2 linked regions of the Lonchura striata genome follow. The protein of the gene in region 1 purifies or fractionates together with the protein of each later gene. This does not show direct contact. Links are inferred from orthologs where the notes say so. Each region holds a gene or a part of one and is shown in the gene's direction. Other genes may lie near its edges.

Region 1 (8,139 bases):
TCGGTTTGCTTAGCAATATTGCTGTTGCCTAATGCAATAAAAATCAGTTATGTAACTGCCTTTGCTAGACTTGCAGAGAGCATTCACCAGACGGGAACATGGCCACAGTATCTTTATGCTTTCATTATGCCTCCTATATTCACTGTTACTATGCAATATGCTCTGCTTTCAGTATATTTTTAAAAATAATTTTCCTTGACATCATGCTTAGAATATTATACACTTATAATCTAAGCTCATGCAAAGACAGAGCTGGGAAGAGAAATAAGCTTATTTGGATTTATTGCTAAAAGGGCTGATATTATAGCACTAGTGCCTCCAAGGAACAAAGAATCACCTACAGGTTGTCAGACAGTATTTTTAATACTCTAATTCTGAACCAAATCCCTAAAATAACCTGTGTTTGCAGATTACCGTGTGCTCTTTTGTTCTGAATAATGTCTTGCTTAGTGAGCTGTGTCTTATCAATCCACCAAGTACTGGGTGTCATTGTTCACCTCATTCACAATTCATCTTTTAATTAACATTATCACAGGAAAAATTCTATTTTGGTCAGCATAATTTGTCTTTGGAATTGGCAGCACAGAAATAAAAGAATTACCATCTGAATTTATCTGAAGACTATGAAGGAGATGGTGACTACAAACCTACCTCATCTGGCACTGAAGAGGAAGGGAGGAAAACCATGTAAATGATAATGGCTTTTAAAATTGTATTTGCTATGTAAAAATCACTACTTTGGTCATTCAGTATCTACTAAGCAAACAGTTTCATCAAAATTACTGTTACTGAAAATACAAACCGGAATTCTACATTTAGATACATACTTTTTTTTAGTGGAAAGGGTTGCTGACTTAGGGAAGATTTAGGAGATACAAATGTCTTTTCAAAGTGATGGTTTTAGATATAGGTATGTAATATCAACTTCATGCAGCAAAATGATGACCATTTGCTTTAATAGTTAAACCTCAAATTAAGTTGCAAATGCATCATTGTTTTAGTGAACAGCCACGGAAGTGCTTTTAAAAAGTTTTTTTAACTGTACCAGGAAACATTCCACAAAGAATTGAAGCATTTCTGAATCCTTCTCACAAGACTCACCTTTCATAATGATTTACAGAAAACTCCATTAAATAGCATGTTGTTTTTCTGAGTCTTCTTTATAGACATTTATCCCCGCAGTCTAGATATGCAGTATTTTTATATTTACATTCAAATTAATACAATTATGTCAAATTGACTGCATCTAAGGTACAATGAACACACCAGCAAACCAGCTGCTTAAAAATTCCCTCCAACATCCCTTTACCTCTTGATTTCATCCATTTCTAATTGAAAATGCAACAGGCCCTGAAGATGATCACGTTCAAGCAGCATTCAGCCAGGATAACAAGAATTATTGTATGCTGAGCCTTCTGGAGTGTGCCCTACTGGACACAGCTGGGCTTCAGCTTGGCTGCCATGGGTGAGTTCTGGTGCATCAAGTAGCAGTCTTCTAGTGGGTGTTTCATTAGTACCTTCTAAAACAGATTTAAGAAAGGAACCATCAGTATCCCCTGTGACAAATATTAATTTCCTCAGTTATGCCTATTGTGCTGGTTTAGGATGGAGTAGAGTTATTTTTCTTCCCAGTGGTTCTCTAGTATGGGGCTCTATTTTGGATTTATGCTGATAATATGGGTTGATAATATGGAGATGTTTTTTGTTATTGCTGAGCAGGGCTTACACAGAGCCAACGTCTTTTTTGTGCTGCCACACTGGTAAGGAAGTTGTGGGTGCATGGGGTATTGGGAGGAGACACAGCTCGGACAGGTGACCTCGACTGACCAAAGGGATATTCAGACCATAGGATGTCATGCTCACTGTACAAAGTGGGGGGCAGCAGGAACAGGAAGGAACTTTTTGAGTGATGGTGTTTGTCTTTCCAAATAAATGCTACATGTGATTGAGCCCTGCTTTCCTGGAGATGGCTGAACAGCTGCCTGCCCTTAGGAAGTAGTGAACTGATTCCTTGCTTTTATTTGTTTATGAGTGCAGCTTTTGCTTTACCCATTAAATTGTCTTTATCTCAAGCCACAAGTTTTCTACCTTTTACCCTCCCAATTTTTTCCCCAATCCTACTGGTTGGGGGGTAAGCAAGTGGCTGTGTGTTGCTTGGTTGCCGTCTGGGGTTCAACCAGGGCACCATTGTGTTCCTAATGGACACAGCATTTATTAGACCTCAATTAAATTAATTGAACCCCAGTCAAACTACCATTTAGGTTTTGGTTTCTTTATTTTTTTCTCCTTTTTATTTTTTAATGGCAGAGGCAAGCAGTGCTTGAACAGACAGGTCAGGAGATGAAAGAGGTATAGATGACATCTGCATCTTTCATAACCATGGTCTGTAGCATTCTATGGGCTATCTTTTGTGTTGAAAGCATGGTGAGACCCAGAAACATCTCAACTAGAGCAGAGAAATGCCATGAAAGTTTAATATTAACCCTACTGAAACATTAAAATTGCCTCGATTTCTCTTTTTCAGTAATACACTTGGTAAGAGTTAGGCTTTTTGGCAGAAGATAAAGGCAGTCTCCTAAACCTTAATTATTACTCCTGAGTTTGAATGGTGTCTTTGCTTATGAAGTAAATGACACAGGCTAAATGTTATGGAAAATTCTTCCCAAAGTTGTAGAAAAAGATACTCAGGAAATTGTTATGTTCATATAGAAATAATGGCTTTGCAGGCTAATTTCTGTTTGTGTTGCCCACTTTACTAGGTAAAATAAGATGCCTTTCACATTAGTAAACTCCAGGATTTTTCTAACATTTTCTTCATGCAGCCCAGAAAGGGAAACAATTAAGTCATACAGCTTTCCTTCACCCTGCGCTATTTTCCAAAGAAGACTCATCTTCTGTATTCCTTAGGCATGCACAGTGCATGAATGAGAAACAGCGTGGGCTTTACTGATCTTCTAAGGAATATATAATTATTTTCTGTGTTTTAAGAACAATTACTTAAGAAATGGAAAAGGAGATAAAAATATAGTAAAATATGTACCCTGCATATAGGAAGGGTACATACAAAAGGAATTTATACTTATTCTTGGGAAATTTGATATGTAAATTATTAATTGAGGAGAGAATGAGGGAGAGGAAAGGAGATAAAAAAGGGAAGAAGCAACTATGCATACTCACTGTGAGAATGCTTACCAAGTTTTAAGGAATATAAGATGTGAAGTGTCATTCACTCTCAATGCACAGCTTTTTTAACTTAGCACTGTTTGGCAAAGGCAACATTTCAAGGTGCCTTTAGCTGCAGGCACCTGCAGGCAGTTATGACTTGGTCTGCCTTTCCTACATATTTATTCCCCTCCCATGCATTGTCTAGATTTGGAAGTGTAAATTCTCCAGAGCAGAGATTTCCTCAGCAGGATTTGCTAGGTGAGGGTCCTGTTGGATGGGTCCTTATCTCAGACATGAAGGCTGATAGGATGTGCGAGGTCGAAATAGTACTCCTTTGTGCATGATGGTTATGTCCATGCAGAAGTTGCCAGCAAGTGAAGGAAGGTGTGTTTTAAAAACCTCAGCACACTCAGGCGCCCATGGCTGCAGGCACGGTCAGACACGTCTGCTTGGTTTGGGCCCAGCTGTAATTACAGAGGTGCAAGGCAAGCCCATGGGTACAGCAGTGGTACAACAGGTTTTCAGAAAGTCCTCGTAAGATGTCGAGCCTGAATGTGCTGAAAAGGAGTTATGGAGGATGATTGTTTGCTGGGTTTGGTGGTGTTGACTTGTTTTTTGAGAGGCAGACTGGCATCCTCATTTGAATGAGCAAGCCACACCTCAGTTTGGGTTGTCCCCTGGAAGCTGAGCAACAGAATTTATGGCTTCTGCTATTTAGTAATACTTGTCTTAAAGCCACAGTTGCCATGTTCATATAATTTACTGGTTTATTTTCTTTCCACCCGCACTGAATGTTGGAGGCTTCCAGGAAGCCCTCACTGCCCACTGGCAGTGCTGACAAGGGCATTTCAGCTGAGAGGGGCACCCAGCTTTGCCAGCCGCACTGGAAATTACCCCAGTCCCAGACATCGCTTTGCACTGCGGGAGACTGGTGAACGACGAGCTGATGGTGCTAGTGTTCAACAAGCGTCCTTGGGGCCAAGGCAGCCAACAAAATCCTGGAGTGCATAACGAAGAGCATTGCCAGCAGGTCAGGGGAGGTGATCCTGCCCCTCTCTTCAGCTCTGGTGAAGCATCATCTGGAGTGCTGTGTTCGGTTCTGGGCTCCTCAGTACAAAAGAGACGTGGAGCTTCTGCAGCAGGTCACATGGAGGGCAGTGAGGATGACTGAGAGACTGGGGGGATCTCTCTTATGAGGAAAGGCTGAGGGAGCTGGGCCTGTTCAGCCTCAAGGAGAGATGACTGAGAGGTGACCTCGTCAATGTCTATCAGGATGTGAAGGGAGGGTGTCAAGAGGGTGGAGCTGGGCTCTTCTCAGTGGTGCCGAGCAATAGGACAAGAGGCAAGGACTAGAAACTGATGCACAGAACTTCCACCTGAACTAGAGGAAGAACTTTACAGTGCAGTGACTGAGCACTGGAACGGATTGCTCAGAGAGGTTGTGGAGTCTCCCTCACTGGAGATACTCAAGAACCGTCGGAAAGAAAACCTGTGCCGTGTGCTGTGGGATGACCCTGCTTGAGCAAGGGAGGTTGGACCAGATGTGGCAGCTTCCAGCCTGACCCAGCCCGCGAGGCGAGCAGGGCGGGCGGGGGCGGGTCCCGCAGACGGCCGCGGGCACGGAGCGCCGAGCGGCGGCCGGGCGGCGCCGGGGAAGGACTGCAGCCCCCAGAGCGCGGCGCGGCGGCCGGTGACGTGCGGGAGGCGGGGCGGAAGTGTGTGTTCCCCGGGCTGGGCGGCCGCCCGGACCCCGTTCCGGCTGTCCCGGCCTCGGCCTCGGCGGCGCGGGGCAGGGGGCAGGAGGAGGGAGAAGATGGCGGCGGAGCTGGAGGCGGAGGTGCAGGCCATTGACAAGAGCCTGCTGGAGTGCTCCGCCGAGGAGATCGCCGTGGTGAGGCGGCGGGCCCGGCGCGGGGAGGGAGCGGGGGCTCGGAGGCCGCGGCAGGCACCGGCCTGGGCGCCGCTCCCGGGGCCGGGGCGAGGCCGCTCCGCGGGGCGAGCGGGCTCTCCGGAGCGGAGCCGCCCTCTGAGGGCAGCCCCGGCCGGCAGCGCTGTCCCGCCGCGGCCTCGGCGCGCTGTCGTCGCCAGCGTCGCTGTTGCCGCAGCCGAAGTCCATGGCAGCGATCAGCCAGCTTTTCTTGTTGTGCCGGCTGCCGCAGGTGGCTCCTGGAAGCCGCCTGGACGTGGCCATCCCCTGCCGGGGGCGGCCGGGCATCTCGCCCCTTCCGTAATTGCTTCCTGAAGTTCCCTTCCCTCTGCTGCCCCTTCGCCTCTCTCTGCCGGCAGTCACGCCTGGACCTGAGCAGATCCCCCTCCCTGTTAATTTAGGTGGATGTCTGACCCCAAATACGCTGTACAGTGTTGAAGTGCCATTACAGGGTTCTTCCTTCCTCCCCACTATTTAAGATGCGGTTCTGGAAAAGCTTGCAGTAGTTAATCTTAGGATTATTAGAATGGGGTGCTTGTAGAGGAAATATTAGTAAAATCAGTGTAATAAATGAAGAAATCTACTTCTCTTTATATACTTTTCCTGCTTTTACAAATAGTAGTTGAAAGAGGAATGTAGTGTCGAAGGTAAAGTCTTAGGAGTAAGTTTTGTTTCTAACATAAATGTTTGTCCACTTAGACACTTGGGCATTTGAGGAATTGGATGTATGTGTTAAACGTATTGAGACTGCTCATGTGCATATTGGTAGGATAAAACCTTGAAGAGCTGTCTGTGTGTGTCTCAGTGGGAATTACATTGGCTGCTTTCCAAATGAAAATAAAAGACTGTTATAATTCAGATTATCCTCAGATTATGCTTGTATATCTTCAGTGCAGACAAACGTATGATTAGATGGGCAAATGTGTATAGTTAGCTATATCCTAGCTAGTTTAGCTCCAGGATTAGTCTTCCTTCTTTTCTACAGCAAACCAAATAATTTCATCAAACATTTATAAAGTAGTCCAAATTGAGCCCAAATTACCTTTTCTGTGTGAATAGCAGATGGTTTTTTTGGGTCACACTGTAGGTAAACTCAAGGCAATCATGCACCCAGGGGAATGCGTTTAGGAATTTGCTGTAGGTAGCAGTGCCAGCTTAAATGTAGTCAAATCTCATTTTTATTATCTGTAATCACCTGCACAAGATCCAATTCTGAAATCTATCATTCAAATCTAGTGGGTTTTTCTGCCTCCTTTGCTGATAGCATTACTTTGCCGATAGCCCAGTATTTACAAAACAAATACCATCCCAAAGCAATAGTTACAGCACTTAAGTCTTCAGTTTGTTGTGGTAACAACTTAATGATAAACTTCCAAAGAACAAAAATAATAAAAATAAATTCTCTTTAACATAACAGGAACCTACATTGCAAGTATTTCTTTTTTCATGTAGCTAAAAAGCTCATAAATCATAGCTTTTAGCTTTTGAAACAGAGAAGTGAGTTATTTTATGGCTTATTAGTATTCTACGTTTTGTTCTCCTGGTGTCTCTTACTTAGATGGGAATTTAATAGAAACCCTGATGAACCATTAGGTATTTATTTATGTAAGGTGTTTGATCAATACTTTGCACATTCTTTTTCTCTCAGGGCAGTTAAAGTTGTTGCAGGAGAATAAGTGTGAGGAGGGAGGAAGTGAAGAGGAGCACACTTCCCTTTTTAATAAAAAACCTCTCTTGGGAGAGTAGAATGTTAGCATTTCTTGCATGTGATTTCAGGTTAGAGGATAGACAAACACTAATTGAAATCTTGCCTAAATGCAGAATGCTTTTGTGAAAGAGCAAATTCCGAAGTTTTGAGTAGCTTTTCTGGAGTTCAGTGCTCCCCAGGTAGTGATTTAGAAAGACAATGCAACGTATGTATACCTATGTATATATTTCTATTTACAGTCTTACTTGCACAACAGACCTTTGCAGACCTTCCTGGCAGCTCTTAGAGTCACATCTGTTTCCTTGTCCTAGTAGCCTGGATTTCCTTCTGGTATTATTTCATCCATGATCTGATTTCCAAAGCTGTATGCACGGTTGTGTGTATAGAACTGGCTTCACAAACAGATTTAGGTGTGATGATGTTCATCATTGCCACACCTAACTCTCACATAGCTACTCCCAGAATTTTTGAGATGGGAAAGCCATTTACTTGAGGAACAAGAATTTTCTGTGTCTAGGTATTCGTCTGAGCTTGTAGTGTAGCTAGTATGCACTGTGTGTTTTCTAGATAGAAATTAGTAATATACTGCTGAATTAAAAGACTGATGTTAAAGATATTTTGCTGAAAAATTCCTGCAGTTTAATAACTAGCATATGCTATAGAAAATAATGCAAAACCAAGATTATTAAATGGAAATCATGGAAATGATTAAGTCACTGCCACTGTGATTGGGTCGGTTCCTGGCAGTAGTAGCAATTTGGCAAAACTGATGAAAGGAGAGGAAAAGATGAATGAACTGGTGAGAAAAATAAATTTTTTATTTAAAACTTTACCTTTTTTTTGGCTAAGGCTTTTTGGCATCCTCTTCCCATGGAATTCCTTGGGAAAAAACTGGGCTTTGACCATCAAAGCTAGATGAATGTAGAAAGATTTAAGCAGTTCAATCATTATTCTAAGAAGTCAAACTTAGGAAAAAAGAAATGAAGAATGCACCCTGACAAATTAGGGTTTTTTAAAATACCAAGTTCTACTTCAGAAAAACATACCTAATAAATGGAACTACTTCAATGTATTAAAAAAAGGCAAAAATGTAGCCAGTCTGCACAGATGCTCAGCTGACTCTGAATGTCTGTATCCTGAGGAACTTACTACAACTGTTATCTCAAACATAAGTTCTTTAGAGTAAGTTATAAATAATTCAGAGTAAATCAAGCTCTAACATTTGATCACCAAACCCATTTATTTTGGCATAATGAATTCTGTGTTTTCTTGTACAGTTTTAGGTTGATTTTGAACTCTTTTTTTGAAAGTTGCCAGGGGGCATCTGGTTGTCACATTT
Region 2 (7,534 bases), on another chromosome or scaffold:
GTGTTATGTTGGAAAGTTATTTTGTAGTATTCATCCTTTTAAGTAGTGTGTTAAATATAGTTTTAGATTATAGCATAATATTAAAATAGAAGCTGTATGATGTAAATATTCTTCATTACTGTAAATATTCTTAATGAAGAATATTAAAATAGAAGCTATGTGCTGGTCATAAGGAATGGATAAGATAACCAAGAAACTCTTTGCATAGAGATAACAGCAACAAGACAAAAAAAAAAAAATCCTAAAACAAGATTTATTGCCTCTTTATCAGACCATACAGCCTTCTTCCAGGCACTCAGAGACAAAAGGAGCTCCAAGGATGGCCTGTGAAAAATGCAGACTAAATGGCTGGCTCTTCACAAATATTAAATGGAATACTATATGTGTTATGTTGGAAAGTTATTTTGTAGTACTGTATTCATCCTTTTTATGTAGTGTGCTAAATATAGTTTTAGATTATAGCATAATGTTAAAATAGAAGCTATATGATGTAAATATTCTTCATTATTGTAAATCTTCTTAATGAAGAAAATTAAAATAGAAGCTATGTGCTGTTCATATTTTTGTGACCAGCATAAGGAATGGATAAGATAACCCAAGAAACTCTTCACATAGAGATAACAGCAACAAGACAAAAAAAAAAAAAAAATCCTAAGACAAGATTTATTGCCTCTTGATCGGACTATACAGCCTTCTTCCAGACACCCCAGAGCCAAAAGGATTCATCTATAAGATGAGGGGAGGAGCTGACAGAAAAAATTCCTAGTTTGAAAGGAATATTTGCATCATGTATGAGATATATAAATATGCAACAGGCTATTGCTTTTAAGAGTTAATCCTTTGTTAGCGAGCCATGTTTTCTTGAGGAAAGCATCCAGACGTCCGTAATTCTTTGCTTTTTATTGTCCTTTATTGTCCTAGCTCTGATTGTCGAAATTCTTATTGCCCTAATTTTTATTAATGTTTTTTTATAACTATTTTATTACCATTAAACTTTTAAAACTTTTAAACAAGCGATTGGCGCTTTTCACATGGGAGAAGCCTCTCAGCCAGCTCTGCTGTCCCTCTCCCATGGCTGGGTGGGGCTGAGGACACGCAAGAGCTCCGGGATGGAAGCAGCTCCAGCAGCTCCCAGGCAGGACACCAGGAACTCACCCAGCTCACACACATCCTCTCATGATGGGTCAAAGTTACCTTAGAAATTGTTTTGGTTTGTGAAATGCTGCACAAGGATCTAGTACTTACTCAAGATTAATATAAATTGTGCTGTAAAAAATTAAATTATTAAAATTATGTTGATATTTAAAATCATAAAACTATAAACCAAAATGTATTAAAATATTAATATTTTTAAAATTATAAAAATGCCCTATCAAATGGCATTAAAAAAAATAGAAATAAAAATTGAACTTGAAACAGCTTTCTGATCAGGAAGTTGTTATAGCCATCCCAGTATTATTTAGGAATGAACACATTACTTTCTGTTCTAGACCACAGATTGTGAAAGGATTTTTTCCAAGTGTTTGAAGCACTGTTACAGTGGATAACTTTAATGGTTGCACAGGAAAAAAAAACCTCTCCAGGAACCAAATGACAAAGTTAGTATTGCAATTGTTCTTTCCACTCATCAATGGAAGTCAGTGTGTTACAAGTACATGATAAATTGAAAACATTCGAACTAAAATGCCCATAGTGACATTATAATGGCAGTGATGCATTTAAGTTCATTAGGCAAGGAAGTACTAGAAATAATTATCACCAGATACAAATCTAAAGTGGATATTTAGTGCAGATTTCATTTTGAGACATATTAAACCACCTTTGCAAGGCCAGAACCTATATTTTATGGTTAGTTGGGACTGATTGCTACACATGTTACTGCCAGGTAGGATTAAAATATTCTATTAGATAACATCAATACACTGTTCCTCAGTGGTGTCAGAGGAGAATAAATATTGTCCCTGATGAGACATTGCTGAAAAAGTTCCCAAGCCATGTGGAAACAACAAGGGATTTCAGATTCAATCCAGCTTGGTGCTGCTGTTCAGTTTTTTGTTTATTTCCCTGCACAGGCTGAGTGTGACTTGGGCTTCAAAGGCAAAGAGCTGCCCTGGGCACAGGGGATGCCCTGTCTGGGCTTTGAAGCAGTGCCTGCTAATACTGAATTAATCAATGTTGTTGTGACCTTCATTTTGTGTACAGGTCCAAGCTTGCATTGGTTGTCACAGATTGCTTTCTCCCTCCCAAGTTAACAGGAGTGAAATAAAAGCTGGATAAAGGTAAAGGAGCAGCAGTGGAATGAAAACTGGAACGTGTGTGGTGGGAGGATGAGGAGGAGGAGGAGAGTCCAGAGGAGGGGATTGCTTGCCAGGAACCATTCCTCACTAGTGTGGGGAATAATGTTTTAGTGGCTGGGGTATTATAGTTTCTTATTACCAAATCTTTTGGAAAAGCTTGCTCCCCTGCAGTACCAGGCTTTGTGTGAATTCCTCACTTTTGCCATCTGACTGTTTTCACTAAGGTGGGACATTGGATTAAAGTGGTCTGAATAAATCTTTGCAGAGTTAAATCCCACCCCATGTGAAATGTGAATTCAACTTATAAATAACCCAGTCAGTGGTGCTGCTGCAGCAGGGCTGGCATTAACTTGGTGAAAAGGCAGTACTGAGCTTTGTGCTGTTAAACCCTGGGCTGATGCTGTTCCACCACCTGGATGGCTGCAGGCAAAGGGAATGGACAGGCAGTGTTTATTTCTGTCATTTCATTATACGTCCCATGATGGTTTGACCTCCTTAAAATCATCTGGAAAAAAAAAAAGCAGGGAGGCACATGTAACCACACAAATCCAAGTTCAGGGATAACTTCCAAGACTGCTTGTAAGAACTGGGTCACGACTTCAAAGAGACCTGCTCTGTCTGTTGGAGTAATGGGATTTTTAAAAAGGGCTGAGAGCCAGGACATCAGCCTGTATTTAGAGGGAACTTCGAGAGATGCTGAGAGGCCCATATGGCAAAATGGACCATTATCCCTAATTAAAATTTGATAAGAACTAAATTTTTAAAACCTCCAGTTACTGCAAATAGTGGGAGTGGGCTGAATACACAGCATAGAAGCAAGACTCGAAATGTACAACCTTGCAATCTGACCACGACTAATAGTTTCTGTACTTTGCAGACGTTCAGCTGATCACAGTGAGCTGGTGTGTCTGGCAAGGAGAAAACCCCACCGGCCCCACGCGTGGGCTGAAACGCCCGGGCAGCGCCGGGCTGGGCACTCCCGGCTCCTCCCGGACCCTGTCCCGGCACTCCTGGGGTGCCGCAGTCCCGGCTCTCTCCCGAGCCCTGTCCCAGCCCTTATCCCGGCAGTCCCGGCTCTCTCCCGGACTCTTTCCCGGTCCCAGTCCCGGCTCTCTCCCGGACCCTTTCCTGGCTCTCTCCCGGTCCCTTTCCCGGTCCCAGTCCCGGCTCTCTCCCAGACCCTTTCCCGGCTCCCTCCCGGACCCTTTCCCGGTCCCAGTCCCGGCTCGCTCCCGAACCCTGTCCCGGTCCCTGTCCCAGCAGTCCCGGCTCTCTCCCGGTCCCTTTCCCAGCTCTCGCCCGGTCCCTTTCCCGGCTCTCTCCCAGACCCTTTCCCGGCTCCCTCCCGGGCCCTTTCCCGGTCCAGTCCCGGCTCTCTCCCGGACCCTTTCCCAGCTCTCGCCCGGTCCCTTTCCCGGCTCTCTCCCAGACCCTTTCCCGGCTCCCTCCCGGACCCTTTCCCGGTCCAGTCCCGGCTCTCTCCCGGACCCTTTCCCGGCTCTCTCCCAGACCCTTTCCCGGCTCTCTCCCAGACCCTTTCCCGGCTCCCTCCCGGTCCCTTTCCCGGCTCTCTCCCGGACCCTTTCCCGGTCCAGTCCCGGCTCTCTCCCGGTCCCAGTCCCGGCTCTCTCCCGGACCCTTTCCCGGCTCTGTCCCGGACCCTTTCCCGGCTCTCTCCCGGACCCTTTCCCGGCTCTCTCCCGGACCCTTTCCCGGTCCAGTCCCGGCTCTCTCCCGGACCCTTTCCCGGCTCTCTCCCGGTCCCTTTCCCGGCTCTCTCCCGGTCCCTTTCCCGGCTCTCTCCCGGACCCTTTCCCGGCTCTCTCCCGGACCCTTTCCCGGCTCTCTCCCGGTCCCTTTCCCAGTCCCTTTTCCCGCTGCCTCTCCCCAAACTCCGCCGAGCGCGGAGCCGCGCGCACCCGCCTCCCCGCGCACCCCCCGCGCGGCGCGATGGTGCGGTCCCGCCCCCCCCGGTGCCGCAGTGGTGCGGCCGGCGCGGCCCCGCCCCGCGCGCGCCGCCGCCATTGCGGGTTGTTTGTGCGGGCGCAGCGGGCGCGGGCGGGAGGCGGCGCCGCGGCTCCGCCATGTCCACCCCGGCGCGCCGCCGCCTCATGCGCGACTTCAAGAGGTGAGCGGGGCCCGCACACGCCGCTGCCCGCGCCTTCCTGCCGGGCCCGGGGCTGGCCCCGAGCCGCCCGGGCAGGGGAGCGGAGTGCCGGGGGGAGCGGGGGCAGCGCCGGCTTTGTTCGAGCCGGCTCGGCCGGCGCCGACGGCTGGGGGCGTCTGAGGATAGAAGTTGGAGCTGCGAGCGGGGCGGGCCGGCAGCGCCCGCGGGGCCGGGGGCGCCGGGCTGGCGGGGGGACGCGGGCTCGGCCCGGCTCGGCCCGGCTCGGCCCGGCTCGGCTGGCACGGCCGTGCCCGTCCGCCCGGCCCGCCACCCGCGGGCTCCGGCTGTGGAATGGCTCGGCCGGAATTCAGAAGCGTTCCAGGCTTGCTGGGTCGCAGGGTCTCTCTGGAAAGAAGTTCGTAGCGATAGGCACCTGGAAACGAAGCGCAGAGAATTGGCGAACGCTTCGTTTGTATGTAGTAAGAGCCAAAATGACCTTTTGTGTTTTTATGCACAATCATGTGATACTGTGTTTAAAGTTTGCAATCATGAGGAGTCTTGTGTAATATATGCGAACTGCTAAAGGAGCGCTTATTAGTTGCACTCTTTTAAATGTTAATGACTGAACCACTGACTCTGGAATACATTATTTCCAGTCTGACACGTAAACATACTTAGAGTGTGGAAAGGGGTGGGAGGTTTCCTTGTAAGATGTACAGTAAGAGTTCTCCAGGCTGGGTCACTCAGCAGTAGTTGGAGGTGAGTCAGCTTTGATAGTGTCTCTTTTTTTAGCATGGCTATGTTATACCAGGCCCTGCGGACACATCAGTTAACACTTGACGTGTATTGTAGTTGCTTTACGTGGCTGCACAACAGCAACAGCGACAAAAATCTGATTCGTGAATCCAGAAGCAGTAGGAGGTTTTTGGGAAGTGGAGCCCTCCCCTGCTGTTTGTGCGAGTGTTGGTGTTTGTTAAGTGGGTGTTGCTTGATTCCTGTTCAAATCAAAACAGGATATTCAGACTTTTTATTGTATTTGGTTACACAGATGAATCAGTGATTTTTTTTTTCAGGCTGACTACCTCAATTTTTCAAGATTGCAATCAGATGTGGGTTTTATGCTTTTGTATTCCTACAGGGACTGGTTTAATAATTTTGGAATTAAGGCTCGAGAGAAGACTCTAAAGCTGTGGAAAAATATAACCAAGTAGACAATGTAAATCAAATCCATCAGTCATATATTTAGCGGCTTTTATATTCCAAAACTTATGTAACTTTTTCATATTAGTTTTTGTTTTACTCTGCTCTTCTGTGCTGCAAGTTGTGTATTTGTTTATGTTATTATACTTCATACTGAAAGAACAGACGGTGTGCTGTGAACTCTGATTCACTTCAATAAATACAAACTGCTTTTGCATACTGTGATTGTCAGGAGCAGTCAAGAGAGAAGAGTTCAGCAGATTTCTTACCTCCTCTAATTTGTTTGAATAAACCAAAAGAAATAAAAGGTTATTTATTTACTTTGCTGATAAAAAGGGCGTACTAAAACCACATTTTCCCTACTGTTTAGGACTTTCAGGATTAGTCCTATTTGCAGTCCTTGCCAGATCCGTTCTGTAGTTAGACCCTGTGACAAGTAGGGTGCACACATGCTTTGAAGTTGATCTAAAAACCAAAGTCATCTCCCAGATGCACTTGGCAGGCTAACACTCAGGCATTGCTGCTGGCCTGCAGCCTGGCTGTCACGTAGGAAGAAGTCCTGTTCCTGCTTTCCCTGACCAAAATAGTAGGTGGTTTATGCTGCTGATATTCAGCGGTCTGGACTGTGTGTGCTCAAAGAGCAGAGATGTAAACACAGAGTTTAAAGGGGCTCTGAGCAGCTTCAGGGCCCTCAGCATCTTTGGACAACACACGGTGTTACCCCAGGCTGAGGCAGGGCAAGTGCAGGGAGGGTTGCCTGGCTGTGCTGCTGACAGCTCTCAATAAATCTGCATATGGCATTTAGTGAGAATTTGTCCCTTGGTCTGCAGAGCTTTTTGTAGTGACTTGTTTATAAGTGTGCTGTGATATTATCGAGCCACATGGTAACACTCAAGAGTTGTTTGTGACACAAGGGCAGTCACTGCATTTTCCTTATTGGATAACTCCGGAGGCAAAACAGGTGAGGGGAGTAGGAGCTGTCACTGAGGGGGTTTGAGCAGGTGGATTGATTGGGGCCTGCTGGTGTACATTCATCAGGGTCTTGTGATCCTTAATATGGAGCAGTGATGGGCAGGGGGGGCATTTGGATCCTGCCCTCTGGCTGCAGTACATATTTCTGTTAGTGAAGCTTTCAGTAGGTAACATGCTTTTCCCTAGTCCGAGGATTAAGGAACTAAAAATAATTTCACATGTTCCCGTAATTGCTTTAGAGATAAACACGTTTGTGGGACTGGTAAGAGGGGGTAGCAGCACACAGGTTTCCCCTTTGCTCCCTTTTGAAGCAATCAGCTTGTCAGTTGAAATAGGCTTATACCAAATTTAGCCACTTGTCATGCATGGGTCTGGGTATGCAGGAAAAGCTCCGCTGACGGTCCTTTGCCTTGAGTCCCAGCAAGAGTGCTCTGTGTGTGTGTGTCACTGCCTGGATTTCAGCTCCTGGTTGTGGCTGCAGCTTGTTCTCCAATTCACTGTGGCAGCCAGCAGCAGTTGCTCTCTCATAGTTCACAGTGTAGCACCATAAATCCCAGCTGTCCGGGTGCTATAAGTTATTCTTACAGCTAATCCTTTGCTCCCTGAACACCTAATCAGACCTCTTGTGCCCTTGTGTCTCCATGTAAAACACGAGAAAATCTTGATGTGTGTTGCCTTGTAGATCTGTCTTTCAGAGTGTTGATAATCTGCATGTAATGCTTTGTGTATATTCTAATCTAGAATGAGAAAATATGTATAAAATGTGGATATTACTGGTAAATTATATCTGCAGGTGGAAGTATTTCATATATATGACTTGTGATTCTATGTAATTCTTAGATTGCAAGAAGACCCTCCTGTGGGTGTCAGTGGTGCACCATCTGAGAATAACATAATGCAATGGAATGCAGTTATATTTGGGTAAGTTTTTATCATTATGAAATTCGGTATTAGAGGG

The links.
Region 2: the proteins of UBR2 (region 1) and UBE2B purify together in Homo sapiens (affinity purification with western blotting; 3 studies listed by BioGRID, with this or other methods). This does not show direct contact. The link is inferred for Lonchura striata from reciprocal best matches to the Homo sapiens genes UBR2 and UBE2B.

What each region holds. Positions count from the first base shown.
Region 1 is NC_134605.1:13,034,648-13,042,786, forward strand, and holds the start of UBR2 (E3 ubiquitin-protein ligase UBR2), read left to right. Parts: upstream 1-4,870; 5' UTR 4,871-4,978; coding exon 4,979-5,056; intron 5,057-8,139. UniProt on the Homo sapiens protein: E3 ubiquitin-protein ligase which is a component of the N-end rule pathway.
Region 2 is NC_134617.1:9,522,856-9,530,389, reverse strand, and holds the start of UBE2B (ubiquitin-conjugating enzyme E2 B), read left to right. Parts: upstream 1-4,314; 5' UTR 4,315-4,381; coding exon 4,382-4,425; intron 4,426-7,416; coding exon 7,417-7,497; intron 7,498-7,534. UniProt on the Homo sapiens protein: E2 ubiquitin-conjugating enzyme that accepts ubiquitin from the ubiquitin-activating enzyme E1 and transfers it to a E3 ubiquitin-protein ligase. In vitro catalyzes 'Lys-11'-, as well as 'Lys-48'- and 'Lys-63'-linked polyubiquitination.